6 linked regions of the Sus scrofa genome follow. The protein of the gene in region 2 interacts with the protein of the main gene of each other region in a pairwise test. Links are inferred from orthologs where the notes say so. Each region holds a gene or a part of one and is shown on either strand. Other genes may lie near its edges. The genes, in order: VPS52, TBC1D22B, CDR2, HSD17B14, FXR2 and DEUP1.

Region 1 (4,618 bases), about 3.2 Mb from region 2:
AGGCAGGAGAAAAAAATCCTACCTGTGCCCTGGCCCAACCAACAAGCCCCTGGAAGCCCTTGAAGCTGGTCAAGCAGCCTCTGGGTGACTCCCGTCTCGGATCCCTCCCCACCACCGTGTGTGTCCCATTCCAACCCAGTCTAATCATACTCCTCGCTGCTTCTCACCCAGTGAAGCTGCATATGCTGCACCATGACCATGACCCTGGGCAACCCCATGGCCAAGCGTGGAGCCCTGCTTCCCAAACCAGTTACCCTCGCCCCCCCTCACATAGTGAGGCCGAGTGTCCAGCCCCCCGAGGCGCTGGGGGTCAGTGCTCCGGACGCTCTGGACGTTCATCTCCAGGATCAGCTCAAACCGCGGCCACAGCAAGGCAAGCACCTGTTCCCAGTACCTGTGGGCTTCGCCAGAATCAGAGATAGCAGCAAGGAGCACAGGGGTGGGGAGGTGGGGTTGGGGTGTGTGCGGGCACCCTGACCGGCACAGGGGCAGGAGGGTGTGAAAGCTGGGTCTGGAAGCAAGAGCACTGCTTCCCAGCAGACACACAGGGACAGGGCCAATGGGATGAGGCCACTAGGAGCCCAAGGGTCAGGGCAGGTGTGTAGGAGACCAAGAGCTCAAGGCTGGTGGGGGGGGGCGTCGAGAACCAGAATTCAGCACCTGTCCAGGGCGGGGACATCCCTCTTTGCTGCAATGTTTCGGAACCGGAGAACAATATGGATACAGAGAAAAACCGCTATGGCATCGTAGCAGTCGGCCAGGTAAGACTCCAGGTGCTTCTGTGATTTAGGAACAGGAAGGGGATTGGAGGATTGTGTTTGGGACTCTGTCATTCAAGTGGCTACAGACAAATGCACGGGCTCCTCTGGGGATGTGGGGGGGGGGACGATCTAAAAGGAAAATGCTCCCTCCTTCCCTGCCCACCGATCCTCTGCCTTGCTCACCAGATCTGTGGTCACAGGCCCATCACAGCACAATTCAGGGCTGAACACCAAGGTTTAAGGGCCCCTGAGTTTTCAGGTGCTATTGCCTGGTGTGGGTCTGCGGCAGGGGTGTTCTGGGAGACCCCAAGCTGTGGTGGTTCCATGGGGAGTCACACAGCTTTAGAAAGAGGGCATCTGGTTGCAGTCTGTCCAGAGCCCTGACCTCAGTGATGAGTAAGGAGGACCTGGAGGGCAGAGAGCAGGGGAGCCAGGGCACTTACCAGCGTCATGCTGAGGGTGCGGCCCATGACAGCGTGGAAGAGGTCGTGTGCAGCCGGGCCAGACACCACGAAGAACTCGCAGATGAAAAGATATTCTCGGCAGGAGTTGTCCAGGAGGGCATAGTGCTGGCTGCGGAAGAGTGCCTCAAAAGGGTACTAGAAAAAAAATTAAATTAAATTTTAAAAAAATAAAATAAAAAAAAAAAAAGGAGTTCCCGTCGTGGCACAGTGGTTAATGAATCCGACTAGGAACCATGAGGTTGCGGGTTCGATCCCTGCCCTCGCTCAGTGGGTTGGCGATCCGGCGTTGCCGTGAGCTGTGCAGGTTGCAGACTCGGCTCGGATCCCGCGTGGCTGTGGCTCTGGTGTAGGCTGGTGGCTACAGCTCCGATTAGACCCCTAGCCTGGGAATCTCCATATGCCGCGGGAGCGGCCCAAGAAATAGCAAAAAAGACAAAAAAAAAAAAAAAAAAGGGTACTAGGAGGGGAGGGAAAAAGAGGGGAGAGAGAAGGGTTGACGTGGCTGAAAGACCAGGAAAGCTGGGCAAGGAGAGCACAGGAGGCACTCCCCTCTAACCCGAGTCCAGGCTTCGAGAGGGCATCCTGAATGGGGACTGAAGAGGTGGGGGCACAGGAGGAGAGCACCCCCCACCCCCCGCCTGCCGCTGCTGCTGCTCCTGCCCCCACCCCCAGGCCTGCCTCCTGACCCGGTGACTGGCCGGGGGATTCACTCAGGGGTCTGCCTCCTCCTCCTCCTACCCTCTGTTCTCCCCGCTGCGCTGTGTGCGGCACAAGGATGGGGGCTTCCAGTTCAGTGGGCGAGATGACGGAGCCACGGGTCCCCAGGGTGAAAATGGTGTTCCTGCTGCGGAGGGACGGCTTTGAGAAGAAGCGTGCAGGGTCACAATCAAGGAATACAGTACTGTCACTGCAGTGATGGAAGATCAAAGCCTTGGGAACTCCATTGGGCCCTGGCAGCCAGACAGCCTCAGCATCCCCCAGGACCAGGGCCCCACTTCAACGGATGTCTGCAAATGGGCCCCAGGGAGCCTCTCCACCCCTGACATGACATGCAAAACAACACATCAAAGTGATTTGCGCATTTTCTTGAGGGAGAAAGTCATAGCTTTTATCACGCTCCCAGAGGTGAGCAGCAGAGCCCCAGAGGCTGGACCCAGAAGCCCCGCCCGCCCCAGGCCCAGCAGGAGCGGTCCTCAGCTGCAGGATATCTTTCTTTGCTGTGTCCTCCACGCCCATCAGATCATCCTTCTCAGCGACTTCCTCATACTAAAGAAAAGAGAAAGGAGCCCTGGTACCCAACCCTTTCCAGAGTGCAACAAGAAAGGGCTCTCGGCTCTGAGCCAGGGCAGGGGCCGCCTTTCTCCTGGCCTCACCTGCACCTTCATGAGCCGCCCCAGGTAGGAGCGGTAGTAAGACAGGTACATCTTGCTCAGCGTCTCCACGTATTCGTCCCTGACCTCCTTGGCCGTGGCCCGCTCATTGCCCAGCAGGAACTGATAGAAGAACCTGGAGTGGCAGGGACGGGTCAGCCCCGTCACCTGCACCACCAGACACCACGCGTGCTGCGCAAAAGCTGGGAGTCCCCCCCTCCCCCCAAGACGGTCTTTCGTTCAGGTGGCCACCTGTACTTCAGTAGGGCCGTTTGGGGGATCTGATAGTTGGTCATTGGTTTCCTGAAGGAATAGATCTTCTGAAGGATGAACTCTCGGATCTTTGTTACCGCCTGGACACGGAGGACCAAACACAGGGTGTGAGGCTGCAACCTTCTCACTGTTTGGGAGGCACTGAGGGATGTAATGAATGCTGAACACAGGAGGAGAAACAGCAGAGAATATCTCTTGCATATTTAAGACCCTTAGGGAACCCAGAGAGGTGAGGATGTGCCCTGCCAAATAAAGGCAGGGCAAGGTTTTCGGGGACAGGCTACGGGAGACCCAGGGTGAAGGTCTCAGGGACGCTGGTTCAGGAAGTCTGGACAATCCACCCCCATGCACCACCTTGACCCGGAGCCGGTCCAGCACGCCCCTGACATCTGCACAGGCCGCTGTGCCTCTAGCCTCCTGCTCCCGGACTGCAGCTGCCTTGGCATCCAGCTCCTGCAGCTGTTCCAGGAACCGGGGCTCTGTCACTGGCGCCTCCAGAATTGCCCTGGGAAGCAGAGAGGGATGGGATGGGTTAGGAGATCCAGACATAGCTAGGCCCTAACCACACCCCTTCCATCCAGCCCATCTCCTCTCCCTTCTTACGCTATATCAGAGAGTCAGGGCACATGTGTACCAAGTTTCCTGTTCCTGGACACACACACCTCCACCACCCACAAGCCTTGGACCCCCTCACTACATGCCTGACCCTGGATGATTCCTAATCTTTGATGCCTAAAGCACATGTCAAGGCTAGAAAGAGTTGTCAACCCACTCATCAGTTTCTGAAAGGAACTTGACGACCTGGAGCCGGAAGACCCACGAGATAAGCAGGGCAGGTCACTCCAGCTCATCTACTTGCTGTTGACATCATGACCATTCAAACTGGTGACTCACGTGACCAGAGCAGAGGGCACCACCAGACCATCGACAAGCTCCCCGAGCTTCCCACGGACAGCCTGGCGGTTTCGAAGCCTAATGTTCATGGCTCCTGACTGTTCCTGCAGCGTCCGGATCTCAGAGCTGATGGAGCTGAGGTCACTCTGAAAAGCTCCCAACATTTGCTCCATGCGCTGGGGGGAAGGCAGAAGTGTTGCTGAATTGCCATTGGGTTGGGACGGGATGAGGGAATCACCCAAGTCCATGAGGGTAGTGGGTGCTGAGGGAAGAGGTACCCCAAAAGTCCCTGGCAAATAGCATTCATCACGGCAGCAGCAACAAATAAAAAAGGCTGCTGAGATCATCCTGATGGCAACTCAAATGGTCCCCACCTGAGGCTAATGACCTAGAGAATGGTACCAGAGACCATGACCTGGGTTCAGGGTTATCAGGGGTCCCAGGTCAGGGTTATTAACCTCAAGGACAGCATCGCAGGCTGTGATCTGATTGTGCAGAGATGCTATGTTCTCACTTTCTTGGATATCTGACCACAAAAGTCAAGGCCTTACTGTGCAGATAGAGCTCCTTGGACCAGCAGGACCTCTCCTTCTCTCTTAGCTGATGGAGGGCAGCTGTGGCGGGGCTGTCAGCACCATGCCCCACAAAATACTCCTTTTTTTTTTCTTCTTTTTTAGGGCCGCACCCACAGCATATGGAAGTTCCCAGGCTAGGGGTAGAGTCGGAGCTACAGCTGCCGGCCACAGCCACAGAAACACCAGATCCAAATTGCATTTTCGACCTAGGCCACAGCTCACAGCAACACTGGATCCTTTTTTTTTTTTTTTTTTTTTTTGGTCTTTTTGCTACTTCTTTG
Region 2 (4,618 bases):
TGCCCCAAAACAAGCCTTAGCCAGCACTGCCTGGTGCCTCCCACTGTCCCAGTAAGACCATCGCCGCCATCACCAGCAGCACCGCCACCACCACCACCAGCTACCGACAAGCACAGGGAAAAAGCCCCAGAGAGCAGCCCTGAGTGGCAGGTGCCAAGGACACGGTTCTGCAGTAGTGACCAGTCAGCTCACAGATGAGAGTCGGAGGGAAGAGAAAGACCAATGGGTGTGGATTTCAGTAAGCGTCGCCTTGAGGGAGGGAGACCCAAGCCAGAGTCGTCACTCTATGGTCTACCGGCCACAGAATCCAGTCCCACCTAACTTGGCCCCTAATTTCTAGTAACACATTTCTGACTTAATACCTGCATGTCACTTCAATGGGCACCAGATCAGGAGATGCTGGAAAAGTAAAAGAGGGAAGAATAAAGAGCAGTAGCTTCCAGGTCTCTGAGAATTCCAGTCACCAAGAGGTCCTGGCCTGCCTGAGGCTCATGGGGACTCACCCAAGTCAGTGTTGTGGCTGGAGAGAAGCTGGCGGAATTTTTCTAGGCGGGTTTTCTCCCGGACAGTCATCGGGGGTGCCCCAGAGGCGTTCTGGTCTGAGATCCGGGCAACGAGGGGGATGATGGGTCGGAGAGGGAGTGACTGCTGTTTGTGGAGTGGGTTCCTCAGGCACGTGTCACCTGGGAGAATGTGATAGAGAAGGAGAGTAGGCTGGGTGCAGGTGGCGATCGGGAGACCCCACACCTGACAGTTCAGCACGGGCTCTGCGCTGCCCGAGGGGGCTCATGTGGGGCAGCTGGGGATGGAAACCCAGCCAGCTCCACTTGCCTGCCCAGGGCCTGAGTGGAGTGAACGTTAAAGCAGCTGACTCGTAGAGGGTGAAAGGGAAGCAGTTGGTCAGAGCCCTTTCTCGTCCACACCAAGGTGCCTCGTGTGTCAATGGAGACCACAGCGGCTGTAGCAACTTTGACTATGTTTTTGGTGACTTCGGGGGAAAATGAATCATTTTCTTTCTACCCTAACCTGGAACTTTTCTTTGGGGCAATGCAGTCAAAGGCAGGGCTGGCCTTCCGTTCACACATCACAGAGCGCATGGAAAAGAAGGACACGGTGGAGCACACTGCAGCACACGGAGGCAGCTGCTCGCCCCAGGCGGCTGCCCCAAGGGCAGAGATGCTCAACATCTGGCACAACTCTCACCTGTTCTTGGCCCACCATGTACCCTGCACACCAGGCCAGAGGCTCTGGCCAGGGGCAGGCCCGCTCTGAGTGGCTGCGGTTCCTCTGCACGCCTACACTTCTCACCAAAAAAAGCCAGCTTTTAATTCTGCCGGGATGTGATTGAAATAACAGGAACACAGACTCAAGCTGAACTCTATGTCTGGTTTGGAAACTTCTAAACTAGACGGCAGGTAGAGAAATGAGCAGAGGACTGACATTTACTGAACGCTTAATATGCATAAAGAATCATGCTAGGAGTTCCCGTTGTGGCTCAGTGGTTAATGAATCTGACTAGGAATCATAAGGACGCAGGTTCAATCCCTGGCCTAGCTCAGTGGGTTAAGGATCCAGTGTTGCTGTGAGCTGTGGTGTAGGTCACAGACGTGGCTCGGATCCCATGCTGCTGTGGCTCTGGCGAAGGCCGGTGGCTACAGCTCCAACTGGACCCCTAGCCTGGGAACCTCCATGTGCCGCGAGTGCAGCCCTAAAAAAAAAAAAAAAAAAATCATGCTGGTCATATCCACACATGACCTCTCATTTGGTCCTTACAAGACTTGGTAGGAGTTCCCCACTGGTTTAGAGAGGAGGAAACTGCAGCTCAGAGAGGTAAGTAACCTGTGGGGAGAGCTGGGACAGCACCTTAGCTCTGACTCTAAAACCCTTCTGTATTTTACTACTCCCAACAAAACTCATGACTGTCCTTTCGTGACTCATATTCTTTAGGCATTTGGGCCTTAAAAAGCAGTAGTCACAGCAAGAATTAAACAGTGAACACTCCTCAGCCAGCACAACTAGGTTAACAGGAACAAGAGCCACATAGGACTTGGCTTGGATCCCTGGTGCTACATGGGGCCTGGGAGACGCAGACCACACACCACAGAGTGAGGCCGACCTGCACCTCCGGAGTCAGGAGTCACAGACAGGTGTCCACAGGAAGAAGCCCTATAACGGGAATGTTCTGGGCGGTCTGGCTGAACAAGGGCAGCTCATTAGGGACCATGGTGGGGTCTTCCTTATACTAGGACCCTCTGGAGACCCTCAAACATGGAGTGAGGACACTTCTTGTAGCCTATAGCTATGGCCACATGGTCAACAGACCCTGAATGCCTGCAACGGGCACAGCGTGCAGGTGGGGCCCAAATCGGTGATGGAAAGGGACTATGGAATGATCGGAAAGGGTCTTACAGCCTAATTTCACGACCACAGCCTCAGTCCAAAACTGTAAAAGCAGCTCTCTCACAACGTGAGCCGGGACACACTCTAGGGCTCTGACCTCCTGCGTCCCTTTCAGCCTTTACCAGTCAGCTGCTTTAACTTTCACTCCGACGAGGGCCCTTCCCTCTCAGCGCAGAATAACTGGCTTTCATAAAACCCTGTAGGACAACCTTAAATACAGCAATAATTTAAGACTCTGACATTTAACAGAGTACACCGAGCAACCCCAAACATCTGATAAAACCACCATCATCTCAGCCAGTTACTGCTGCCAGTTTCCTGAGAAAAAGCAGAAGGGGTACCTCCTCCTCCTGCCCCACCCAACCTGGTGGGCTGGGAGCTGTGACACAGGGACCCTGTTCCTCAGGAACAGGAAAAAGACAACCTGAATGCTGGTGGTTGTTCTCCACAGCTGAGGAGGTCAACCAACAGAGCCAAACATGTATGAAATTCAGCCACTAACAACTTGAACTGCATTTCATGGGTATTCTTCAACCTGACCAGGACTAAAACAATGCGAAGCAATCGAACCACAAAAGTTTGGACCCCACCGCAGGGAAAGGAAGAAGAGAATGGCAGGCAACGGTGGGTGTCAGGAGGTGAAGCCCCAGGTCCCAGAGCCAGGCAGCCATTTGGGTGGGGGTGGGAGAAACAAGGCCAGCTCATGACCAGTTAGGTTCCCTGACATCACCTCTCAGGCCAGAGCTTGCTTACTTATCATCCAATGCAAGATCTGAGGGATGTTCTAAAGAAAAATTGGTTTTACTTAAAATCTACTCTGCTGAAAAGGTGGAACCTATGGAGGGGAGCAGGACGAACTTACTGGAATTTCTGGACAGCTGAGCATCACTGCTGGACTTTATGACCTTGTAGCTGGCCGGAACATCGGATGTTGTGGACTGGGACCGTTCTGGTTTCACCCTCAGCTTGCTGTGGTTTTCTAGCACTTGGGCGGCAGTTGCCAAAGCAACTTTTGAGTTCACAGTTTGGAAAGCAGGGGAGGAAAAGTCCTCTTCCTCATCATCGCCAATGTCCCAAGCATCGCTGGTGTTCCGGGCAAACTCATGAAAACTGGAAGCCTTCTTACTCTTCAGAGGAACCGTGTTGACTTTTGACCGCTCTTTAATGAAGCTTTAAGAAAGGAGACACCGTTACCAAGGGAATGGTCTGACACATCTTAACATCAAGTGCTTAATATAATATCAATAGCATCACAAACTGTCTCATGCACACTCATTACCTTCTTCAAACACAAAATATCCACATCTATTCCTCACCCAGGCCAGCCCTATGCTGCAGAGACAGACGAAACTAAGACACCGTGCTCTCCAAAGAGTCCGCGTGCCCTTCTACTCCTCCCAGTCCCTTGCGCTCAGGTGAGCCTGTATGATTGGTTCTGGCCAGTGCGCTGAGGAGAGAAGTGAGGCAGTCACTTCCAAGCCAAGGGACAGAACAGGTGTGAGTTCTCCAGAAGCTCTCCTCTACTGTGATCACTGGAGGGGCTCCAGAGGGTGGTGCCTCCCTCAGCTGGAAAAAAGAGTGACTATGGGGAGCAGAGCCTGCCCTCCACACCCACCTGACTCTCCCCTGGACAAGTGGCATGAGCAAGGGGAGCAAGAAGTAAGCCTTTGCGTTCCGGTTCACTGAGATTTCAGAATTCATCTGTTACAGCAACATAAACTTTTTTTTTTTTTTTGAGTAGGACATCAACTACTGGTAGAACAAGAGATCATATTAGGTAGCCCCTATGTGTTCGTAAGCATTGAGTTCCACCATGAACAAGCTGTTCCCTGTTTACTCTGATGAGGTCCTGTTGCCCTCGAGGAGAGATACGACTTTGGTGCCACTCTTTTGTTTAACAAAGCCACGGCATAAAGACAAAAAAAAAAAAAAAAAAAAGGAGTTCCTGTCGTGGCGCAGTGGTTAATGAATCTGACGAGGAACCATGAGGTTGCGGGTTCGATCCCTGGCCTCGCTCAGTGGGTTAAGGATCCGGTGTTGCCGTGAGCTGTGGTGTAGGTCGTAGACATGGCTCGGATCCCGAGTTGCTGTGGCTGTGGTGTAGGCTGGCAGCAACAGCTCCGATTGGACCCCTTGCCTGGGTCCAATTGGACCTCCGTATGCCAAGGGAGTGGCCCTAAAAGGACAAAAAGACAAAAAAACAAACAAACAAAAAAAA
Region 3 (5,264 bases), on a different chromosome or scaffold from region 2:
AACAAGGTAATGGTAAACCAGAGCCTTCTGAGGTTAGAAGCTTTCAGTAATTTTACTTTATTATTATTATTTTTTTTTTGTCTTTTTGCTATTTCTAGGGCCGTTCCCGCGGCATACGGAGGTTTCCAGGCTAGGGGTCGAATCGGAGCTGTAGCCACCGGCCTACACCAGAGCCACAGCAACGTGGGATCCAAGCCGAGTCTGCAACCCACACCACAGTTCATGGCAACGCTGGATCCTTAACCCACTGAGCAAGGCCAGGGATCGAACCCACAACTTCATGGTTCCCAGTCGGATTCGTTAACCACTGCGCCACGATGGGAACTCCAATCCAGTCTATTTAAATGATGCCTCCATGTGCGAAAGGGAAGAAAACACTGTAGTTCTATGACTTTGAGAACAGGATCTTAGAAAGCTGTTTCAGCAGCTCTTTCCAAACACGGCTCTCTCCGGAAAATTAACAGTGAAGATGTTAAAAAAGGGACAGATGTGTGCACTGCATAAAATCCCATTAGATCTGCTTCTCCAACTGTTGAAGACGTCAGACCTGCTCCCAAACTTTATTCAGCAGCAAGTATCTAGGGAGGGGTCACCCTGCCAGGCTGTGTGGTGGGCACACACCAGGAGGCAGCAGCATCTCTACTCAAGAGATTCCTAGATGGTCCACTTCATGAGTAGGATCCTGTCTACACTACTGTGTGGACAGACTCTGTGGCTCCACTGCCTAGATGACACAGAGCAGATAACAAAAAGCTTTGAGAAATTAACAAATTAAAAAAATCCGTGAGAGGGATGGACTGGGGGTTTGGGATTGGCATATGCACACAGAGGTATATGGACTGATTGGCCAGTGGGGACCTGCCGGATAGCACAGAGAACTCTGCCTGATATTCCGTACTAATCTATGTGGGAAAAGAATCTGAAAGAGAATGAAAACGTGTGTATATGTATAACTGAATCTCTTTTTTTGCAGCAGAAATGATCACAGCCTTGTAAATCGACTATACGGCAATAAAACTTAAACATGGGAAAAAAAACCAAAAAACAACAGTGGGGGAAAGAAATCAGCTGAAAGTTTAGGAGTTCTCTAACATATAACTTATTGAAATTGGAACAAAGATATCCTTCTGTTCACATGGCAGCCTTCATTCTTCTCCAGGCCGTATTCACAGTTGGGACTATTGGAATTTCATATCTATTCCTGCCCCACACACTTGGTTATGACATAGAGGGTTATGTCAAAGTCCACTGTGGTAACAGATGTAAACGTCCTTTGAAAAGCATCGAACAAATTCCAAACGCAAACTGGCACTGAGGAAGTTTGGACCTGTGCCCTTTAGGGTTTCACGGAACTTGAACATCTGATGACTTTGTTTTGATCAGAGGTTAAAGAGTGTTGCATCGCACCCTAAAATGTGGCATCTGCTTCTCAGCAGACTGAAGTATGACAATCAGCTGTTCCTAACGACCTCCCACAAGGCGAAAGGGCAGTGTGGGCTAAGGCACCTGAGAGAAGAGAGCCATGAAAACAGGGATCTTGTTTGAGTGTCGGGATGAGCTTCTACTACCTGCTAAGTATTATGCTAGATTCAAACCAACCAACCAACCAACCTACCAGCCTGTACAGATCTACGCCTTCTAAACACAGTAAAAAAATACTTAGCTTTGATTACAGGATGAACTGCGGAATGTATTATAGGGGAATGCTGCAAGTGCACAGTGGTTGCCTCATAAATCCTGGAGAAAGTATCAAACTAGGCCATCAACCCTTAGGGGGAATTCTGAAAACAGGTTAAAATGTAAGACAAATGTGCCTTGTGGACCTTGTGAATATGATGGCAAATACGGCATGCACTGCAGCCACTGAAGAGCTTCGACTATATAAGCATAACGGTGAACTCCTGCGACTGTCCACTCCATACTGATGTAAGAAATTATCTCCCCCCTCCCAAAGAGCTCCTTATGTTCCTTTTCTAAGTATGAGTCATTTAAGCCCATATTCCCCAGCCCCCAAGTTCAATGGTTAGCATGAACAAACAATCACGGTCATTTAATAGTCAACTACATGAGGTGTTAATTTTTTGTGCCAGTTTAGAGCTGAAAAAGCTGATGTGCACAGCATTGCTGAAACAGAAGAGGCCTGGAGAAAAAAACAAAAAAACAAAAAACAAAAAACCCACAACTCCTGAGGAGTATTCAGCATCCAGGATGAGGGCTGAGAAAGTTTACTTTGGAGTTTGGAGTGGAACCCTAGCTCCCCCAACAGCAGTACTCAGTACTTCTTTGCCATAGCACTGCCCTACGAAATGAGCGAGCACCTGTGTGAAGGGGCCTGTTAGCGTCTGGCACACCAACAGCTTCCCCAGTTGCAAGTCCCTGCTATTAAGAGGCAAAAAACTGGCATTGGCTCCAAAGTGAAGGCCCCTCTAAGGTGTCTCTCTGGAGACAAGAAATCCAAGACAGGCTAGGGCCTGTTTTAAACGAACACCTGTTTTTAACTAGAAAGCAAGGGTGCAAATTGAAGGAAGGGGAATACCGCTGAAGTGCCCTCAAGTCATGTCCCTTGCATCTGGTGAACACAAGCAAAAATTTTCCCGCAACTGAAAAAGCCGTAAAACAGGTGGTGAAGAGATAAGGTTTGGGCAGAGGCTACGACGACTCCCCAGTCTGAGTGTGTGGCTTCATAAATACGTTCTCCCCCACTTAATCTGGAGGAAGGCACTTGGCAGCGTTAGTCTCCGCTTTGCCCATCTGGAAAATGGGGATAACACAAGTTACTCTCTCGCGGAGTTATGGTGCCCATCGAATGTGTGAAAAGGGCTAGACAAGGTTCCTGCCACCTGCAGCAGCTCACACTTGGCACCGACTGTGTTTTCTCCCGGAGGCGGAGAGGCAGCAGGGGCCCCTGAGCCCAGCAAGGGCTCCCCTCTCTGCTCCGAGTAATGCCATGGGGATTAAATCAGTTAATCTGGGGAAAGCGCGTCAAACGGTGCCTGGCGCCCAGCTAGCAGGAGGGGTGATGATGGTGATGCTGATATTGGTACCTGCGCAGAAGCCCGAGTCCCGCGCAGCGCAGTTCCCCGGGGCGGGATGGGCAGGCGCGACAGTCCCAACACCAGGTGAGCGCCAGACCTTCCCTGCACTTGGCATCTGTTGGCCCCGAGGAAAAGCAACTTTTTAAGTTTCGCGGCGGGAGAAGCCGTGAGCCGGCAGCGCCCCGGCCAGGCCCTGCCAGGCGACCGCGCCCTCACCTTGCTGGAGGTCCTGGTGGTCGTACCACGGCTCGTCCTCCTTCATCTCAAACTCCTCCACCAGGTTTTCCGCCAGCATCTCGGCCGGCTCTTCCGGGGGCAGCGGCCCCCGCCGCCGCCGGCCCGCCTCAGCCGCTGCCCCGGGCTTTCCGCCGGCCCCTCCGCCCTCGGCCAGAGCCGCCCTCGGGCGGGACGCGCCGCCGCCCTGGCTCTGCCGCGCAGTCCGACCACAGCTAGCCGCCGCTGCCGCCGCGGGGCGGCTCGCAGCGCAAGCCTCGGACCGGCTTTCCGACTCGCCTCGCGCAGCTCAAAGAGTCCCAACGGCCAGCGCCCAGGCGCTAGCGCCCCGGCCGGCGCCCAGAGCCGGCTCCTCACGCCGCAGCCCGGCCCAACGTGGCACTTTGGCAGAACCCTCCCCGATCTGGGCTGCGATTCAAACCCCCGGCGGCGCCTCAGCCAATCGCGAGAGGGATGTCGGCCGAGCGGCAGCGACATCGTCCAATCCCGTCTCACTGCAGTCCCGCGGTTCGCCGGGTTTCAAGGGCAAGCAGCCAATGGGAACTCCGGGGGAAACAAAGAAGGCGGGAAAAGGGGAAGGGGTGCGGCCGAAGGTCCCGCCCCTCTCTGCTTTGAGTAGCTACTGGGCGTATTCGCGTTACACAGGTGTGGATGTGGCGGCCTCAGCGGCCACTGTGGTGGGTGTCGGGCGCGCTGGCCAGTGGACTGGCTGCGTGGGCGTGAGGGGCGGGAGTCTGGCCTCGGAGCATAAGGCAGTTGCTGGCAGGCGGCGTGAAGGGTTCCGGGATCCTGAGATCCGCTGTCCCGCCGGCCTCTGCTGGTCTTTTCACGCCCAGATTTGGTCTCCTCTACGCAGAGAAATTGAGGGTCGGTCGAAAGTTTAGGGCTGTTAGCTATTTTCTCCTTGATATCTGAGTACAATCAGCTGAGGATTGTACTCACTCCCCCTGAAACGGTGAGCCTCAAACCCACTTGAGTATCTGGGGACAAACAGGAACCGGTGCAGTTGACGGTAACTTAGCCTTAAAAAAAAAAGAAAGAAAGAAATTGCAGGCATTTTTGCATACTTTTAAAAAGATTCACAGATCACAGGACTCTGGAGTCATAATGTTAACACCTGCAGAGAATGCAGTCGAAGCACTAGATGGCCAGCAGAGCAGTGAACACTCGTCTCCAAAGACAATAGCAAAATAAATAACTGCCGGTAGGTTGTGGATTTCACCAGCATTGTGCAGACAAAACACAGACATTTTAAAATAGGGTTACAGACCAGAAGGTCAGTGTTCTCAGCCTTGATGTAACGGTAATGCACAGCTGACAGACAACGGTGCTGTCTCTTAAAGTAGAATGCGCACTAATAAACGTAGAAGGACTTACGGTGTTAGAAGTAATAAAAGCAGAAATGGTAAACTGATAAATTCTTTTCTTCTGAAGCCAAATATGCTAAAAGGTAAAATGTTACTGATAAATTTTTTATTGCTAGGCTAAGACAGAAGCTAGGTTGTGCGTCTAGCTAGTCTAGCCTGTACTGCTCTAATTGTCAATATTCTGGTAGAGAAATTAGTCCCTAGCCGAAAGAAAATAATCACACCCAACTATCTTTTTTTTTTTTCTTTGCTTTCTAAAAAATTTATTTATTTATTTTGTCTTTTTAGGGCTGCACCCATGGCATATGGAGGTTCCCAGGCTGGGGGTCAAATCGGAGCTGTAGCTTCGATCTACACAGCTGATGGCAATGCTGGATACTTAACTCCCTGAGGGAGGCCAGGGATCAAACCTGTGTCCTCATGGTTGCTAATGAGATTCGTTAACAACTGAGCCACCGCAGGAACTCCAAACTCAACTATCTTAATTTAAAAGTCACTATGGATAGAGCTCTTTGGAAAGAGAGATGATTGGATTTAGGATTTGTGGATGGTGATTTGTGGAAGCTGAAGGGGCAGAAACATGTCTCTGATCGCTAAGAGACAGTTTTTTAGTCTCTAATCTGCAAGA
Region 4 (5,169 bases), on a different chromosome or scaffold from region 2:
GGGGCCAGAGGGTGAATAATGAAGATGAAAGATAGCTGTCTTTTTTTTTTATCTGTTTCCTTTCTCTAGAACATGAATCCCACGAGGACAGAAATGCCTCGTCTGTTTTGTTTACCGCTACATCCCCAGTCCCTAGGAAAGAACATGGGCATAGCGGATGCTCAGTAAACATCTATTGAAAGGCCAAAGGACATAGAGAGAATGGATGAACTAGTACCTGCCATCTCTTTATATCTTGACAAGAGAAGGAAACTGCAGCCCGGAGAGGGTAAATCAATTTGCTCAAAGTTGTCCAGCCAGTAAGAAAGGCATCTTTCCATCACAGCCTTGCTGTGTGACCTTAGTCCAATCAGTTCACCTCGCTGAGCCTCGCTTTACCAATGTGAGGCATTCTTATAAAGGGTAGTCATGAAACAGATGACAATTTCCCTTCAAAGCCTCCACACCAAGACCTGTAAGCCCTGGGCCAAGCGTACTTGTTCACAGTCACAGAAAAAAAGAGCCATCCGCCTCACTTTAAAGAAACTGAGGTTGGAGTTCCCTGGTGGCTCAGCAGACTAAGGACCTGGCATTATTGCTGCTGTGGCGCAGATTCAATCCCTGACCCTGGAACTTCTGCATGCCATGGCCAAAACCAAACCAAACCAAACCAAAACGGAGGCTGCAAGATGGACGCTGTCTGCCCAAGACAGTTAGGGTGATTAGGGGGCTGAGCAGTGACACAATTTTTTTTTTTTTTAGGGCCGCACTCGTGGCATATGGAGGTTCCCAGGCTAGGGGTCGAATCGGAGCTACAGCCTCTGGCCTACATCACAGCCACAGCAATACGGGATCCGAGCCGTATCTGCACCACAGCTCACAGCCAGATCCTTAACCCACTGAGCAAGGCCAGGGACTGAACCCGCAACCTCATGGTTCCTAGTCAGGTTCATTTCCTCTGCACCATGACGGGAACTCCGCCCAGTTACACTATTTAATACTCTCAACACCCTGTAATGGCAAGGACAGTGGTGGTCATTGTCATTTTAGAAATGTAGAAACTGAGGCATAAAGAGGTGGCGGCACAGGCCTGGGGACACAGAGCAGCAATGGGACAGAGCCCGGGAAGCGGGTTGACAACTCACGGGAGCCGGCGTTGTTGACCACACAGTCCAGGCGGCCGAAGCGGCGGATGGTCTCAGAAAGAGGGTCTGAGGAGAAAGCTGTCTTGTGAGTGAACAGCATTGGCGCCCCTGCTGGGCTCCCCCAAGTGAGACGTGGCAGAAGCGGAGTCACCGCGGAGGGGACAGGACATTGTGGGGGCCGACCCCAAATCGCCAGGCATGGCAGGAGATGAGGAGACTGGACGCCAGGGTGCCAGAGACCAGAGGGCTGGTGACACACACCCTGAGCTCACTACTCCAGAGACCCAGGAGGGTGGGGGATGGGGGAGCAGATGAAGGGAAGGGGAGAAACCCTGGGAGAAGGAGAACTCTTACTGGATCCAGATCATGTGACAGGAGGGACCAGGGGCCTTGAAGGCCTGGGAGATAGAGGAGAATCTTCTCGGCAGACACAGGACGTGGCCAGCCGAGTTAGGAAAGCTTTGCGATGAAACTGAGCTGAGACTCTGGGGGCAGGTGTCATTTAGCCAGGAGATGGGGAAGGGTAGAGGGAATAGCATGTGCAAAGCCCGGGGTGAAGGGAGAGAGAGAACGATTGGAGATTGAGGGGGACGGGGAGGGACAGAAACTACGCGCTCACCTTCACATCATCCTCTTGAGTCACGTCACAGAGGACAAAGACAGACCCAGGCAGCTCCTGCTCCAGGGTCCGACCAGTGGACTCTGCAGGAAGAGAAGGGCTGGGGGCTGGAGCCTGGGTCTCAGAGAGGAGGGGCTGGGGGCCCAGGATCCTGGGTCTGAGGGAGGAGGGCTGGGGCTGGATCCTGGGTCTGAGGGAGGAGGGTGCTGGGGCCTGTATTCTTCTTGAATCTAAGGGAGGAGGCAGTGGGCTGAGGACTGGGGGACCCTCACTCACCGTCTTTGTCACAGATCACCACCTGGGCGCCACTTTCCACTGCGAATAGACAGGGAATAGGTTAGCCCTGCAGAGACCTTGGTGAAGATCTCTGCTGCCCTCTGTGGCCACCCGGAACAGGGCCGTTCCCCCCCCACCACCGCCCCAGCTCTGTTCCCCTCGTGACCCCAAAGTCTCATGATGATCCCGTAGGGCAAAAGGCAGAAGCCTAGCCTTCTCCTTGGCTATTCCAGGTGACTTCTGGGGCTCCTGAGTCTCCATCCCTGGGTTCTAGAGTAAACCCTAAACCTCCAAAAGACATATTCCTTCAACCACCACCCCCGGCCCCCCATTCTGTAGCAATAGCTGAGACCCAGAGAAAGGGAGTCAATGGCATTTGAAAATCCGCCGCAATCTCAGGCCCCAGGCCACCTCTGCCTTCCCTTCGTTAACTTTGCAAATTGGATTTTACGAGACAAGAATCTAGATTCCAGTACAGAAGATACTTCGTCCCACACCCATTAGCCCCCGGGTCCCTCCGCTCCCAGACTCCACTGTTCAGAGCCGACCAGACCCCACTCACCGAAGGCTCGGACGATCCCAGCTCCGATGCCGCGCCCGCCCCCCGTCACGATTACCACCTTCCCGGCATAGCGCGTTCCCGTTGCCATCCCGCGTCAGAAGGTCTCCTTCGGCCACTCACTCACACTCACTCGAGGCTTCTATCCCCCTCTGAAGTCCGGTGAGGTCTTGGGGTCGAACCATAAATAGGGGCTGGATCCTGAAGCCCGGCCCCGGGGGCGTTGCCAGGAAAGCCAGAAGCCTGGAACTTGGCCCCAGCCCCCTCCTCCCTCAGACCCAGGAGGCCGGTCCCCCAACCCTCAAACTCGGGATTCCTGGAGTCCGGCCCCCTCTGCCGGACCTTGGACTCCAAAGTCCAGGTCCCGGGTCCTCTCTTCCTTCAGACCCAGGAATCCAGGTCGCCGGCCCCCTCCTCCCTCAGACTCAGTAATCCAGACCTCGAGCTCCCCCCGTTCCTCTGACACACAAAGCTGAGTCCGCTGTCCCCTCCTCCCGCGGGACCCAGGAGTTCACCACTCCAGCTCTACCTCTTCGAGACACCGGTGTCACAACTCCAAACAGACAGAAAGTTATCGACTAAGAGTTCAATGTTTTAATCCAAATTTGGACAAGTATTGGGAAAATCAAACTTTGGCCAAAGTAGCCACTCCTCGGCCACCGGGAGGGGACCAGATCACGCCCTCAGGTGAGGGAAGAGGCTCCATCTGTCCCGGAAGTACCTCCGGGACACGCCCTCCAGCTCTGATTGGCTGCCCTGCTTGGGCGGGTCAGAAGCTGGACTGTAGCAGCGTGACTCTCAGAGGCCACGCCTCCTCGTCTGGGGTTAGCGCGGGAGGGGCGGTCCCGGAATCCCAGGTCGGCTCCCAAGAGGCCGGGCCTGCGTCGCGCCCAGTCCCTCGGTGGGAGAACCCCGTGGAGTGGGAACTGGCCACTGGAGGAGATCTTGGGGGCGAGGACACGCAGGGCGTGGGATCTGACGGAGGTGGCGACGCAGGGGGAAGAGGGTCTCCTCGAGAGTCCAAACTGCCACCTGGAGAGGACGGACGGAGAACGAGAATGGCAAACTTTGGGACCCAGAAGTCCCGACACCCAGGACTTTCCTCTCAAACCTAGGAGTCCAGGCTCCCCGTCCTCTCCTCCCCAGACACGGCAGTCCTGGGATCCAGTCCCCTCCTACTGGGGTCTGGAACCCCCAAGCCCTGTCCAGCTCTTTCTTTACCAAGGCAGAGGGTTTCTGGCGGTCGTCGGACCCCCCTCCCCACCAGGACCTAGGATTCCGGGCCTCCAGACTCCCTCTTCCCTAACACCCAGGAGCCCAAGGTCCCCAGCCCATTCTCACCTGTCATCATTCGGTGCCACTGTGACGCCTCAGCAGCCAAGGCTTGAGAGAGGCTGAGAACTCGCTCCCGGTGACCCTCAGATGTTGGTAAATAAGGGGTCGTGTTCCTCGGACTAGAAAAAAGAAGATGCAGGGGTGGCCTTGAATAATTTGCCTGTAAGGTGAGGACCACGGTGCAGAGCGTGTCCTTCTGGGAGTTGTAGTCCCTAGCATATGGCTCTAAAGGATTTTGAACAGGGCGAGACCCTCTTTTTAAGTCTGCGTGCATTATGGGATCTGTAGTCCAATTGCCCGAAAACTTCCCGACAGAGGAGCAGAGTTTGACAGCAACGGTGGAACCGCTGTGAACTAGGGCTTTCTCATTCCCCAGGAATTCAAGCGTCTCTGAAATGTTCTGCCATCCATACCCTGGTACTCAAGAGTACTCAGGAGACATTAATACTTAATGCTACTCCTCACCCTTTTGTTGACTTTCTTGCTTCTAGTTTGGATCTCCAATTCCTTACCTGCTCCAGGACCCAGAGCTTCTGAGCCATTTCTGGCTCCTGAGTGTCCCAGGGCAGGCTGCAAAGGAATTGGAGCATTAGAATTCCTCCCCCAGGAAGCCCTCACGTCCTCATTTTGAGGATGAAGTGAAGGAGCTTAGCGAAGAGAGAAAATTGCCCCCCCCCAAACATGGCAAATGTCTTTTTTTTTTTTTTTTTGTCTTTTTTGTCTTTTGTCTTTTTGTTGTTGTTGTTGTTGTTGTTGCTATTTCTTGGGCCGCTCCCGCGGCATATGGAGGTTCCCAGGCTAGGGGTTGAATCAGAGCTGTAGCCACCGGCCTACGCCAGAGCCACAGCCACGCGGGATCCGAGCCGCGTCTGCAACCTACACCACAGCTCACGGCAACGCCGGATCGTTAACCCACTGAGCAAGGGCAGGGACCGAACCCACAACCTCATGGTTCCTAGTCGGATTCGTTAACCACTGCGCCACGATGGGAACTCCGCAAATGTCATTTTTATGTAAGATCCTTTGTCTGGAAAATGTCTATGACTGTACCTTCGACTTCTAACAGACAGGACAATTCTCAGCTTTTTTTTTTTTTTTTTTAATGGCCACACCCACAGCATATGGAAGTTCTCAGGCTAGGGATCAAATGGGAGCTGCAGCTGCCAGTCTATGCCACAGCCACAGCAATGCCAGATCTAAACCGAATCTGCAACCCACACTGCAGCTTGTGGCCAGGCCAGATTCCCCAATCCACT
Region 5 (4,618 bases), on a different chromosome or scaffold from region 2:
ATTTTTTTATTCTCTTTTTAAATACTGTACAGTGAAAAATAAATACGCCTTCTCATCCACCAGACAAGGTTGGTCCCCCCTCCCCTGGGGGACCTTGTCACCCCCCTTCATACACACCCCTGGTTCTACTCCAAAACCTTCCCCATGCCTCCCACCCACTTAGACCCTTACTATCCCCGTCTTCCACAGTGATGAGGCCCCAGAAATGGGGGGTACAGGACGGGAGTAGGGATAGCAGGGGAACCCCCCTGAACTGTCACATCTGGGTGGGTCAAGGAGCACCCCGCACCAACAGGCGGAGAATGGGGGTGTTCAGAGAGAGATTGGGGCATTAGAGGATAAAGGCACATCCAGTCTGATGGGGAAGGAGAGAGGCTCCCCTTACCCTGGGGGTAGGGTGGACAAGAGGGAGGGGGTATGACCCTGTTACACACCCCTCCACTAGCTCCTGGAGGTTGGGGGGGACCCAAGCTGCTGTGCCACCCCCCTCCCCCCTAGATAAGAGCAGCTCCAGCGCAGGTCAGTCGGGCCTGTGAGGGCCATGGTGTTGGGCAGCAAGCGAGATGGAGAAGGGAGGGATGCGGGCTGGAGGGTTTATGAAACCCCATTCACCAAACTACCCAACTCCAGGGGGGCGGAGAGCTCCCCATTCTCTGAGGGGCCCTTAGGAAGCTTGCTGACAGAGTCACCCTGAGGGGGAAATGGGAAAGAAAACGGAGAGGACGAAAAGAGAAGGGTCAGTAGAAATCCAGGTAACGACAAGCCCCTACCGTCCCCTTGCGCCAGGCATCCGCTGACCCGGGGGTTGGTTCACCTGATGGGACTCTAGTCACATTTACTCAGATCCAGAAAATAAGAACCCAACTTTCCTTTCTCCTCTACTGAAACTTTCCAGTATTCTAAATGCAGCCTACACTCCGTCAGACACACCTTCTCTGCAATTTAGTAAGAGATTTCTTTGGCAGTTTTCTTGTGCCCCCCCTGCCCTAGAACAACAAAAAAGGAGGTAGGGGGAACTACATCTTGCTTGCCTACCTTCTGTCCTGAAAGAGAATCCTCTGAAGGTTTAGTGCGTTCCAGGGGTGGCCGCTGGCGGCTCTGAGACTCTGCTCGGGAGATATAGTCAGCCACAGTCACTGGGGAAGGCAGAGGACCGAGTTTCAGAAGGGACCCAGGTACCCGACCACTGAACCCCAAGCCCGAGAGTTCACAGGCTAGGAGGCAGCCTGTTCTCTGAGGAAGGAGCTGAGCCCCAGGGCTGGCTGACCTGGCTGACGGTCTCCACTGACAGAACCATCAGTCCGGTTACCACGGTTGCGGCGGCGGCGGCTCCGATTACGACGCTGGGGTCTTGACTCATCTTCTGTGGGGCAGGGAAAAACAAGAGCTGTGCATCAATCTCCCACCTCTCAATTCTTGCCCAGTTCTAATTTTTCGGACCCAGGTACACCCCTTACTTACCCAGGCCATTCTCTGTCATGCTGGGCCCGTCAGACTCTAGGCCTCCATCCATGACAGTCCTGTCTTCATCAGTGCGGCGGCGGCGGGAGCGGCGGCGCCTGGCACTTGCTGGGGGGGGTTCCCCTGGCTCTGAATCAACTGGGGGCTCCGGTTCAGATGTGTCCAGTAGGCTGTAGGGATTACTGTCTGGGTCTTTCAGCACTGGTTAGAGGAAGAAGAGTTAGGAGTCAGGTGCCATCACCGCATCCTTCCTTTTGGCGCACATTCACAAACCCAGCTGTTTGCTTCTGGTACCTGAGCTGATAGACGAAGAGTTGTATCTCGAGGTGGGCCGGGGGGCAGGCGGGGGTCCCCTACCCCGGCCCCCAACAGGCCGCCTCCGGCTTTCTTCCGACCGAGTCGGGGGATCCCTGTCACCGGGCCCAGCTCGGCTGAGCTCCTCCCTCTTCTCTGACTCCGTCTCAGAAGCTGTAGATGGGTCTGAGCTGGGGCCTGACGAACACCAACACAGTGAGGTTCAATCAGGGTCACTCTCCCTACCCCAGGATCCATCACAGCCTCCAGGCTGAAGACTCTCTCTCTCCTAAGTCCTCCAGCCAATCACTTTGTTTTCTTCCTTTTTTTCTTTTTGGTCTTTTTAGGGCTACACCCACGGCATACGGAAGTTCCCAAGCTAAGGGTCGAATTGGAGCTGCAGCTGCCTACGTGGCCACAGCAACTCGGGATCCAAGCCTCTGCAACCTACACCACAGGTCACGGCAACACCGGATCCTTAACCCACTGGGCAAGGCCAGGGACTGAACACGCATCCTCATGGATACTAGTTGGGTTCGTTACCAGAGACACAACAGGAACTCCACTTTTTCATCTTCTCTATCACCCTTTCCTCAAGCTTCCACCCAGACCTCTGCCCCCGCCCACCACCACTGCCCTGCCTCCCTCTCCCATAGCCGGCTCACCATAGGCAGGACCGCCTGTCCTCCGGCCCCGGCCCCGGCCCCCATAGCTGCCCCCATAGGTTCGTGTGGTGTGGAGAGAGGAGGAAGAGCTCTCGTCCGTGGTATATCCAGCCTTGTCACTGCCACCGCTGCCCCGCCCACTCCCAGGAGGGCGAAAGCCCAGCCCAATCTGCCGAAGCTGTTCATCAATCTGCAGCCTCTCCAGGCGAAGCTGCTCCACCTCCTGGTTGGGCAGAAGTCAGAGAAAAAACAAGGAAGGAGAAAAAAGTATAAGCTCAACAACAGCCTCTCTGCATGCTTCTCTGCCCTGACTGTCCCTACATATCTGAACTCTCAGGAATGCAAGAAGGCTTAACACAGAAAATTCTGGAATCCAGCCCCACAGCCCCAAGTTTCCACCCCATGGTTTCTGTTCTACTCAGACACAAACTGGGAAGCATCACTTTTAACTTTTTCCACCAGCATCCTTAGTCCCCTTGTACACGCGGCTCTTTCCTCTCCCAGGCTTCCGGCTTGGGTACCTGCAGGTAGGAGAGGTGATATTCCAGCAGAGCCTGAGCATTGCTGATATTCTCTCGGGTGCCAACAAATATGAAGGGAACCATTCCCTGGAGAGCAGGGGGGAGGACAGACGGATTAGAAGGAGACTTAAATGAAGTGTAAGTCCACCCGAATGAGATCTTTCTGGGCTCTACGTCTACTAGGGGAAGTCAAAGTCCCGGTGCCCCAACCCCTAGAAAGTCCAGCCCTCAGAGAATGGCTTAGAGAATGATCCCATCTACTTTCAGAAACCAGTCTCTAGGTATAGCTGACCCATACCTCCTCCCTGGGGTTCTTCTTGTCATTATCACCTTCTACTCGAACCCTCACCACACCAGACTTATCCACAATCTCCTGGATCACTTTTCCATTCTTTCCAATCACTTTGCCTAAATGGATAAAGGAGAAATTAGGCCTTTAAAAAAAAAAAAAAAAAAAAAAAAGGAAAGAAAGAAGAGTAAAAACAGACAAGATAAACAGTCTTCCAGCTTTTTAATAATGATTCTGTTTAACAGTTCTCCTGCTTCTAGGCTTCTGGTGCATTTTCATAGGATAAAATATAACAATCCCTAGAAACCTGTTCTCCCATTTTTGTCACTCCTACTATAGACTGTTTGCTCTGTCCTTGCAAAACCGGAAGTTCACAGGGAGGCGCCAAGCCCAGAATCAATTTAAAGACTCTTGGAGTTCCCTCATGGCTCAGCAGATTAAGGATCCAGCATTGTCACTGCTGTGCTTCTGGTTATACCTGTGGCATGGGTTTGATCCCTGGCTCAGGAACTTCTGCATGCCACGGGAATGGCCAAAAATTAAAAAACAAAAACAAACAAAACAATGACTCTCACAACTGGTCCCTCACTATTTCTCTTACATACTTACATACACAGAGGTCTACAACTCACCAACCAGGTTCCTGGGTACTTGCACAGAGTCCTCAGAAAACTCAAGGTAGCTCCGGGCCTGTCGGCACGCCTCGGGAGTCTAAGAGAAGAGGGAAACGTCACTAATAACAGCGGACCTGGATCCCAAACAGTGATCTTCCTGCCACTTTCTATCTTGGGGAAAATATGCTGCCACCAAAGTCAGGGAGGGACTCACAACAGGTCTCCTTTCTGTTTAACACTCTCTTCTCTCTATTCCCTAAGGGACTGAGATGACAGGTATCTCTTGCTGACCTCCCCATAGATGCGGAAAGTGCAGGTCTCTTCACCCAATTCAATGGCAGTCACCCCAGGGACTTTTCGGGCCTGCTGGATGTTGGCACCGTGAGTCCCAATTGCCAGTCCCATCAGGTCCTCTCGCACTGTGAACTCCTCCTGGAAAGCTGCGGCCAGCTGCTTACTTGTCTGAAAGATAAAGACACTGGACTATAGGAATCACAGTGGTGAAATCTCAGAACACCATCCCAGGTACCTGATACTTCACATAATAATAAAAAGAAAAAAAATGTATGAAAGAAAACCAGAATTCCCTGGGAGTCTGCTGACCACTAGGACCTGTGTGGAGAACTTGGGAACTTTTTGTTTCACTCCTAACTTCCAAACACCAATGGCTTGGCGAGGAGGGAAGGTAATGACCGCAGAATTTGGGCAAGGAGCCCAACAAAACATACTCTCTGTGCCTCTATTCTGCCATCTCCTAAATGATTACACCCAACC
Region 6 (4,618 bases), on a different chromosome or scaffold from region 2:
TGTTTTATAAATAATGTCCAGGGTTTTTAGTTGCATTTAGCGGGAGGACTAGGGGAAAAGTACATCTAAGCTTCCTTTCCAGAAGTATATATATATTTATAATTACAGTTTTAATAATTGTTAGAAGGAAAGGAAAATACCCCATTTTTAAAAAGGAAGCAATTTCTACAAGAAAGTTTTTTTTTTTTTTTTGTCTTTTTGCCTTTTCTAGGGTTGCTCCCGTGGCGTATGGAGGTTTCCAGGCTAGGGGTCTAATCAGAATTGTAGCCGCCGGCAGCTGCCGGCCTACACCACAGCCACAGCAACGTGGGATCTGAGCCGTGTCTGCAACCTACACCACAGCTCATGGCAACGCTAGGTCCTTAACCCACTGAGCAAGGCCAGGGATCGAACCCACAACCTCATGGTTCCTAGTCAGATTTGTTAACCACTGTGCCACAACGGACACTCCATCTACAAGAAAGTTTTGACAGAGTTGAATTATTCAAGGCAAGAATAGGATAAAACCTATCCTGAAGATATTTTAGGAAAATGAAGCTGTAAATAAATGAGGAATTTCAAAGAAGGAAGCATCAGAGTAAGTTAGCCACAACAAAACTGTGTCTGCCACAAGATACCATTTTCTGGTTAGAAAAATGACATATTCCTAGCTGCTGTGCAAAGCAAGTCAAACACACAGTACTTTTCTTTTCCTCTCTTTTCCCCTCCTTTCCTCTTCCTCCTCTTTTGCTCTCCCTCTCCAACTCTCATCCTTCCTTCCTTTTAATCAGAGAAGAAAAGAGAAGCAGAAAATTGCAGTGGAAGCACAAACAGCTGTTCTCTCAACAATGTAGCTCTTCTACAGTGTATTCTATGAAACACCTGTTTACAGTGTTTACACTGCAACTGCTACAATATTTGTTGGTTTTAGTTTAAAAAATACTTTCCATGGTCAAATATGTTTGAAGAATGATGGAGTAAAAAGGCTAAATGAATGCTTTTAAAGCCGACTTCTCACAGCTTGTGATATGCTAATATGCACTGTGAATATCCAGGAGGAGTAAAAAGCACTTCCTAAGCTCTCAGTGTTAGTGCACAGAACACATTTTGGTGAAATGGCCATAAAAATATTTGTTGACTAGCCAGTAGCCAAGTAATAAAATAGAGCTGCAAAGCATCAAATGGCAAGGGTTCATATATTAAGTGAATGCTCACAGTGATGATAAACAAGCCCCAAACTTTTTAACCACAGACATGAAAAACAAAAAACCCAGAATGTAAAGATTTAGTAAGATGCAACTAAACTAGTTAAATATAATTTAGAGATGGTACTTAACTTTTTTTTATCTAGATTTCTGTATTTTTAAAAACTTATTCCAGATCATGAGCTCTTTGTTTACACTGAACAACTACAATGATTCAATATTTATGTTGCTACATTAGAGCTTCACCTTTATAGAAAAAGCAAGGTTGACTGACTTAAGTGTTAAATGTTTAGTCTTACCTAGGAAAAACCACGTAAAGTTTCATAAGTCAAGTTACCATCTGGCAGCAGCTATTTAAATGACAGACAAAATGCCCAGGTAGACTTAAGAGCTAGTCTTGTAAGACGGTACCCATTAAGTGGCATCGAATGTTTCAATTCATATAGTAATGGCTGATCACCTCCCTGAAAAGGTGCTTAAGGAGGCGCTTCAATTACTGTGGGCTCCTTTAAGATCATTTGTGAAATATCTGCACTCCAAAAAAGGTTGGTTGTAAAGTAAAATTTCATAATCAAACCATATTTCCCAAAAGTCACTAAGTTAAGTAAGAATACAGCATCTACTAGACCTGAGATGCTCAGATGATTACTTCCCTACATCTCATCTGTGGTAAGAAAGAGAAGACCTTTTGCTTCCCAGCACCGTGGGAGTATAGTACAGGGACACATCAGAAAGAAATCAGTATCCCTATCATCACATATGCAAAAGCTCCCTCGTTTAGGAAACAGACTACCAATAACAAAACACTAAAGAATTTTGGCAATAATATAAAGTTATGTTCTTTGAATTATCTATTTCATGAGAGAAAATCTCTATATTTTAAATTGCCATAGAAGAAAGGGAATAGAGACCACAAAAGATAATATTTTGTTGTTGTTGTTCACATAGCTAATTATCATGACATAATTAATCAACAAATCATTTGATAAATAGAAAGCCATTAGCCTAGCACTGAGTCAACAGTTAAAGGGATGCAGAGCTGGCAATCTAATGAAAGAGACAAAATCAATACACATTAAACAATGAAAGACAGGGTCAAATATATGACCTAGCATTGAAATACAAGAATGTTTGCCTGTATTAAAAATAATTCATTTTAATACAATTAACACAATTTTATAAATCAAACCATATACCAAAACATTTTATATTAAATTGTAGTAAGTCTCCTTACTTGAGCTTTTAGGGTTTGAAGTTGTCCTTCATAATTCTGAGTCATTGCTAAGTTACACTTTTCCAAACTGTCCAACTTCTGTCTAAGTAACCCCACCTGCATAAGAATAAAATTTAATTTTTTTCTAATTTTTGCCTGACAAAAATCAGAAAATGTGCAAAAGAGGAGTACAATTCAAATAAAACTGCTGTACCAAACCACGAATATTTTTACTGTGGTTCTTAAAATAGTTATTAATAATTAAATTCACAAAAACTGAGCATTGCTAGCACTATTCCACTGGGTACACATCAGAACACTATGGATGTTTGACAAAAGATCTTTCTCACTGCCACATTTTAAATTAAGGTTTAGAATTTACTCTGCATTATCTTTTTGGGAGGCTCCTATCATCATCCCTCGGGCAGAACCCCTGCCAACATACTTCGGCCTTTATTTTGGGCCCCACTGCCTTCAATAGGAGCTCTGTTTTAGAGGTACTGTGGAACAATAGTTACATTTTTATAATAACAAAAAGCAAAATGTCTAAGAGGAGTTCTTTGGGATTTGGCTTACAGAATTTGTCCGCTTAAAAAACAGGCAAGGCCCCTGTTTGCACATCTGTGTTGTAACAGGTGTAAAGGTGAGAAAATAGTCCCTCACATGTGCCAGGTCTGATGACCTGCCTCTACTGATAACTCAGTTAACGAGGCCAGACAATAACTTAGTTATTAACCATGACAAAAACTAAGTTCCACTGACAGGGTGGTAGAGGTAGAAAAAAGACTGCTGAACGAGTTGACTGTTGATGTTTGGGTTATTAGCATATGGTCAGTAAAGACGTCTCTCATGCCTCGCCCCAAAGAAAAATCCACAGACATGAACGCCCACCTCAGGTGAAGCGTAGGGCTTTCCTCAAGTCCGCTGCAGGTCTGAGAGCGCTCAGACCTCATTCTACCATCACCGGCTTGGCCACAAACAACCTCCTGGGCCCTGGTTAGGTCCACCAGGGCCCAGGCACTCCTCCCAAGTGGGTGCCCAAATATACACACACTCCCTTCAATCCTTCTCTCTCTTGTCCTACAATCAAGACTTGACTTCCACTTCTTTCAGGAAAGATTGTTTCCTAGCAGATGAGAAGAGGCAAACACTCCTCAACTCTGCCTGTCTAAAGACACAGCTTTGACGACTACTTCTTTCTTTCTACAGCAGCAAAATAGTGACATTTATGCTTGCAAACAGTATTTATTTCACATACATGTTGAATGTTTACATTCCTCGCTGGCATTGACACTATATCTTATTTAACCATCAAATTACTCTGCTTGCCGCTTTTTTTGGGGGGGGTGGCACACCCACAGTATATGGAATTTCCTTCTCCAGGGATCGAATCCCAGTGGCCGCTGTGACCTATGCCATAGCTGCGGCAACACCAGATACTTAACCCACTGCTCCAGGCAGGGGATTGAATATGCTTCAGCAGTGACTGGAATTGCTGAAGAGACAATGCTGGATCCTTAACCTACTGTACCATAGAAGGAACCCCTGCTTGCCACTTATTTGCTAGAACACATTTAGCACACTGCAACAGAATTTCAAGCCATAAATGCTGTTGCTGATGCCTGATAAAAAGTATGTGTAATGAAAAACTTATTTTGATAGAATACTATTTATATCAGTCTGAGACATTAACACAGCTAGGCAGTACCTCTTGACCTTTCTGATCCAAACAAGTTTGTGCATTTGCCAACTCTTGATCCCGGAGATCTAATCTTGTCTCCAGAGCCCGCATCTTCCTTTCCCAATCCAGTTTTTTGTTGCTTACCATGATGTCAATTTGTTCCATTAATTCCTGAAGCTCGGCCTCACAAGGAGAAGCTCTGGCAATTGCAGAAAAGCAAAATATATTTAGAAAGAGTGAAATGTGAGAACAAGAAAAATTATGGTCTTGCTTTGAATGGCTTGACTATTATCTCCTCAAATTGTTCAATTATTTAAATAGGAAGAATTCCCAAAACTAGAGGTTAACATTTTAAATTAAAACTAGAAGCTGGAGTTCCCATCGTGACTCAGCGGTTAACAAATCTAACTAGGAACCACGAGGTTGCAAGTTCAATCCCTGGCCTTGCTCAGTGGGTTAAGGATCCAGCATTGCCGTGAGCTATGGTGTAGGTGGCAGATGTGGCTTGGATCCCGCATTGCTGTGGCTGTGGTGTAGGCC

Evidence for each region.
Region 1: the proteins of TBC1D22B (region 2) and VPS52 interact in binary tests that used the Homo sapiens proteins (3 or more experiments, as listed by UniProt). The link is inferred for Sus scrofa from reciprocal best matches to the Homo sapiens genes TBC1D22B and VPS52.
Region 3: the proteins of TBC1D22B (region 2) and CDR2 interact in binary tests that used the Homo sapiens proteins (3 or more experiments, as listed by UniProt). The link is inferred for Sus scrofa from reciprocal best matches to the Homo sapiens genes TBC1D22B and CDR2.
Region 4: the proteins of TBC1D22B (region 2) and HSD17B14 interact in binary tests that used the Homo sapiens proteins (3 or more experiments, as listed by UniProt). The link is inferred for Sus scrofa from reciprocal best matches to the Homo sapiens genes TBC1D22B and HSD17B14.
Region 5: the proteins of TBC1D22B (region 2) and FXR2 interact in binary tests that used the Homo sapiens proteins (3 or more experiments, as listed by UniProt). The link is inferred for Sus scrofa from reciprocal best matches to the Homo sapiens genes TBC1D22B and FXR2.
Region 6: the proteins of TBC1D22B (region 2) and DEUP1 interact in binary tests that used the Homo sapiens proteins (3 or more experiments, as listed by UniProt). The link is inferred for Sus scrofa from reciprocal best matches to the Homo sapiens genes TBC1D22B and DEUP1.

Annotation. Positions count from the first base shown.
Region 1 is NC_010449.5:29,632,041-29,636,658, forward strand, and holds part of VPS52 (vacuolar protein sorting-associated protein 52 homolog), read right to left. Parts: intron 4,289-4,618; coding exon 4,221-4,288; exon of another isoform or gene 4,110-4,220; coding exon of another isoform or gene 3,939-4,109; coding exon 3,763-3,938; intron 3,374-3,762; coding exon 3,223-3,373; intron 2,949-3,222; coding exon 2,848-2,948; intron 2,732-2,847; coding exon 2,599-2,731; intron 2,492-2,598; coding exon 2,434-2,491; intron 2,098-2,433; coding exon 1,964-2,097; intron 1,361-1,963; coding exon 1,205-1,360; intron 780-1,204; coding exon 661-779; intron 395-660; coding exon 271-394; intron 1-270. UniProt on the Homo sapiens protein: Acts as a component of the GARP complex that is involved in retrograde transport from early and late endosomes to the trans-Golgi network (TGN).
Region 2 is NC_010449.5:32,866,061-32,870,678, reverse strand, and holds part of TBC1D22B (TBC1 domain family member 22B), read right to left. Parts: intron 3,571-4,618; coding exon 3,263-3,570; intron 684-3,262; coding exon 504-683; intron 1-503. UniProt on the Homo sapiens protein: May act as a GTPase-activating protein for Rab family protein(s).
Region 3 is NC_010445.4:23,795,155-23,800,418, reverse strand, and holds the start of CDR2 (cerebellar degeneration-related protein 2), read right to left. Parts: upstream 3,617-5,264; 5' UTR 3,331-3,616; coding exon 3,252-3,330; intron 1-3,251.
Region 4 is NC_010448.4:54,140,864-54,146,032, forward strand, and holds the start of HSD17B14 (17-beta-hydroxysteroid dehydrogenase 14), read right to left. Parts: upstream 3,281-5,169; 5' UTR 3,108-3,280; intron 2,748-3,107; 5' UTR 2,670-2,747; coding exon 2,582-2,669; intron 2,059-2,581; coding exon 2,020-2,058; intron 1,827-2,019; coding exon 1,744-1,826; intron 1,207-1,743; coding exon 1,125-1,206; intron 1-1,124. UniProt on the Homo sapiens protein: Catalyzes the NAD(+)-dependent oxidation of L-fucose, yielding L-fucono-1,5-lactone, which rapidly converts spontaneously to L-fucone-1,4-lactone. Can also act on D-arabinose and L-galactose, with lower catalytic efficiency. Does not use NADPH.
Region 5 is NC_010454.4:52,885,941-52,890,558, forward strand, and holds part of FXR2 (fragile X mental retardation syndrome-related protein 2), read right to left. Parts: intron 4,307-4,618; coding exon 4,136-4,306; intron 3,942-4,135; coding exon 3,863-3,941; intron 3,350-3,862; coding exon 3,240-3,349; intron 3,029-3,239; coding exon 2,942-3,028; intron 2,644-2,941; coding exon 2,421-2,643; intron 1,954-2,420; coding exon 1,756-1,953; intron 1,663-1,755; coding exon 1,462-1,662; intron 1,364-1,461; coding exon 1,268-1,363; intron 1,137-1,267; coding exon 1,036-1,136; intron 691-1,035; coding exon 595-690; 3' UTR 1-594. UniProt on the Homo sapiens protein: mRNA-binding protein that acts as a regulator of mRNAs translation and/or stability, and which is required for adult hippocampal neurogenesis. Specifically binds to AU-rich elements (AREs) in the 3'-UTR of target mRNAs.
Region 6 is NC_010451.4:25,817,067-25,821,684, reverse strand, and holds part of DEUP1 (deuterosome assembly protein 1), read right to left. Parts: intron 4,278-4,618; coding exon 4,106-4,277; intron 2,515-4,105; coding exon 2,419-2,514; intron 1-2,418. UniProt on the Homo sapiens protein: Key structural component of the deuterosome, a structure that promotes de novo centriole amplification in multiciliated cells.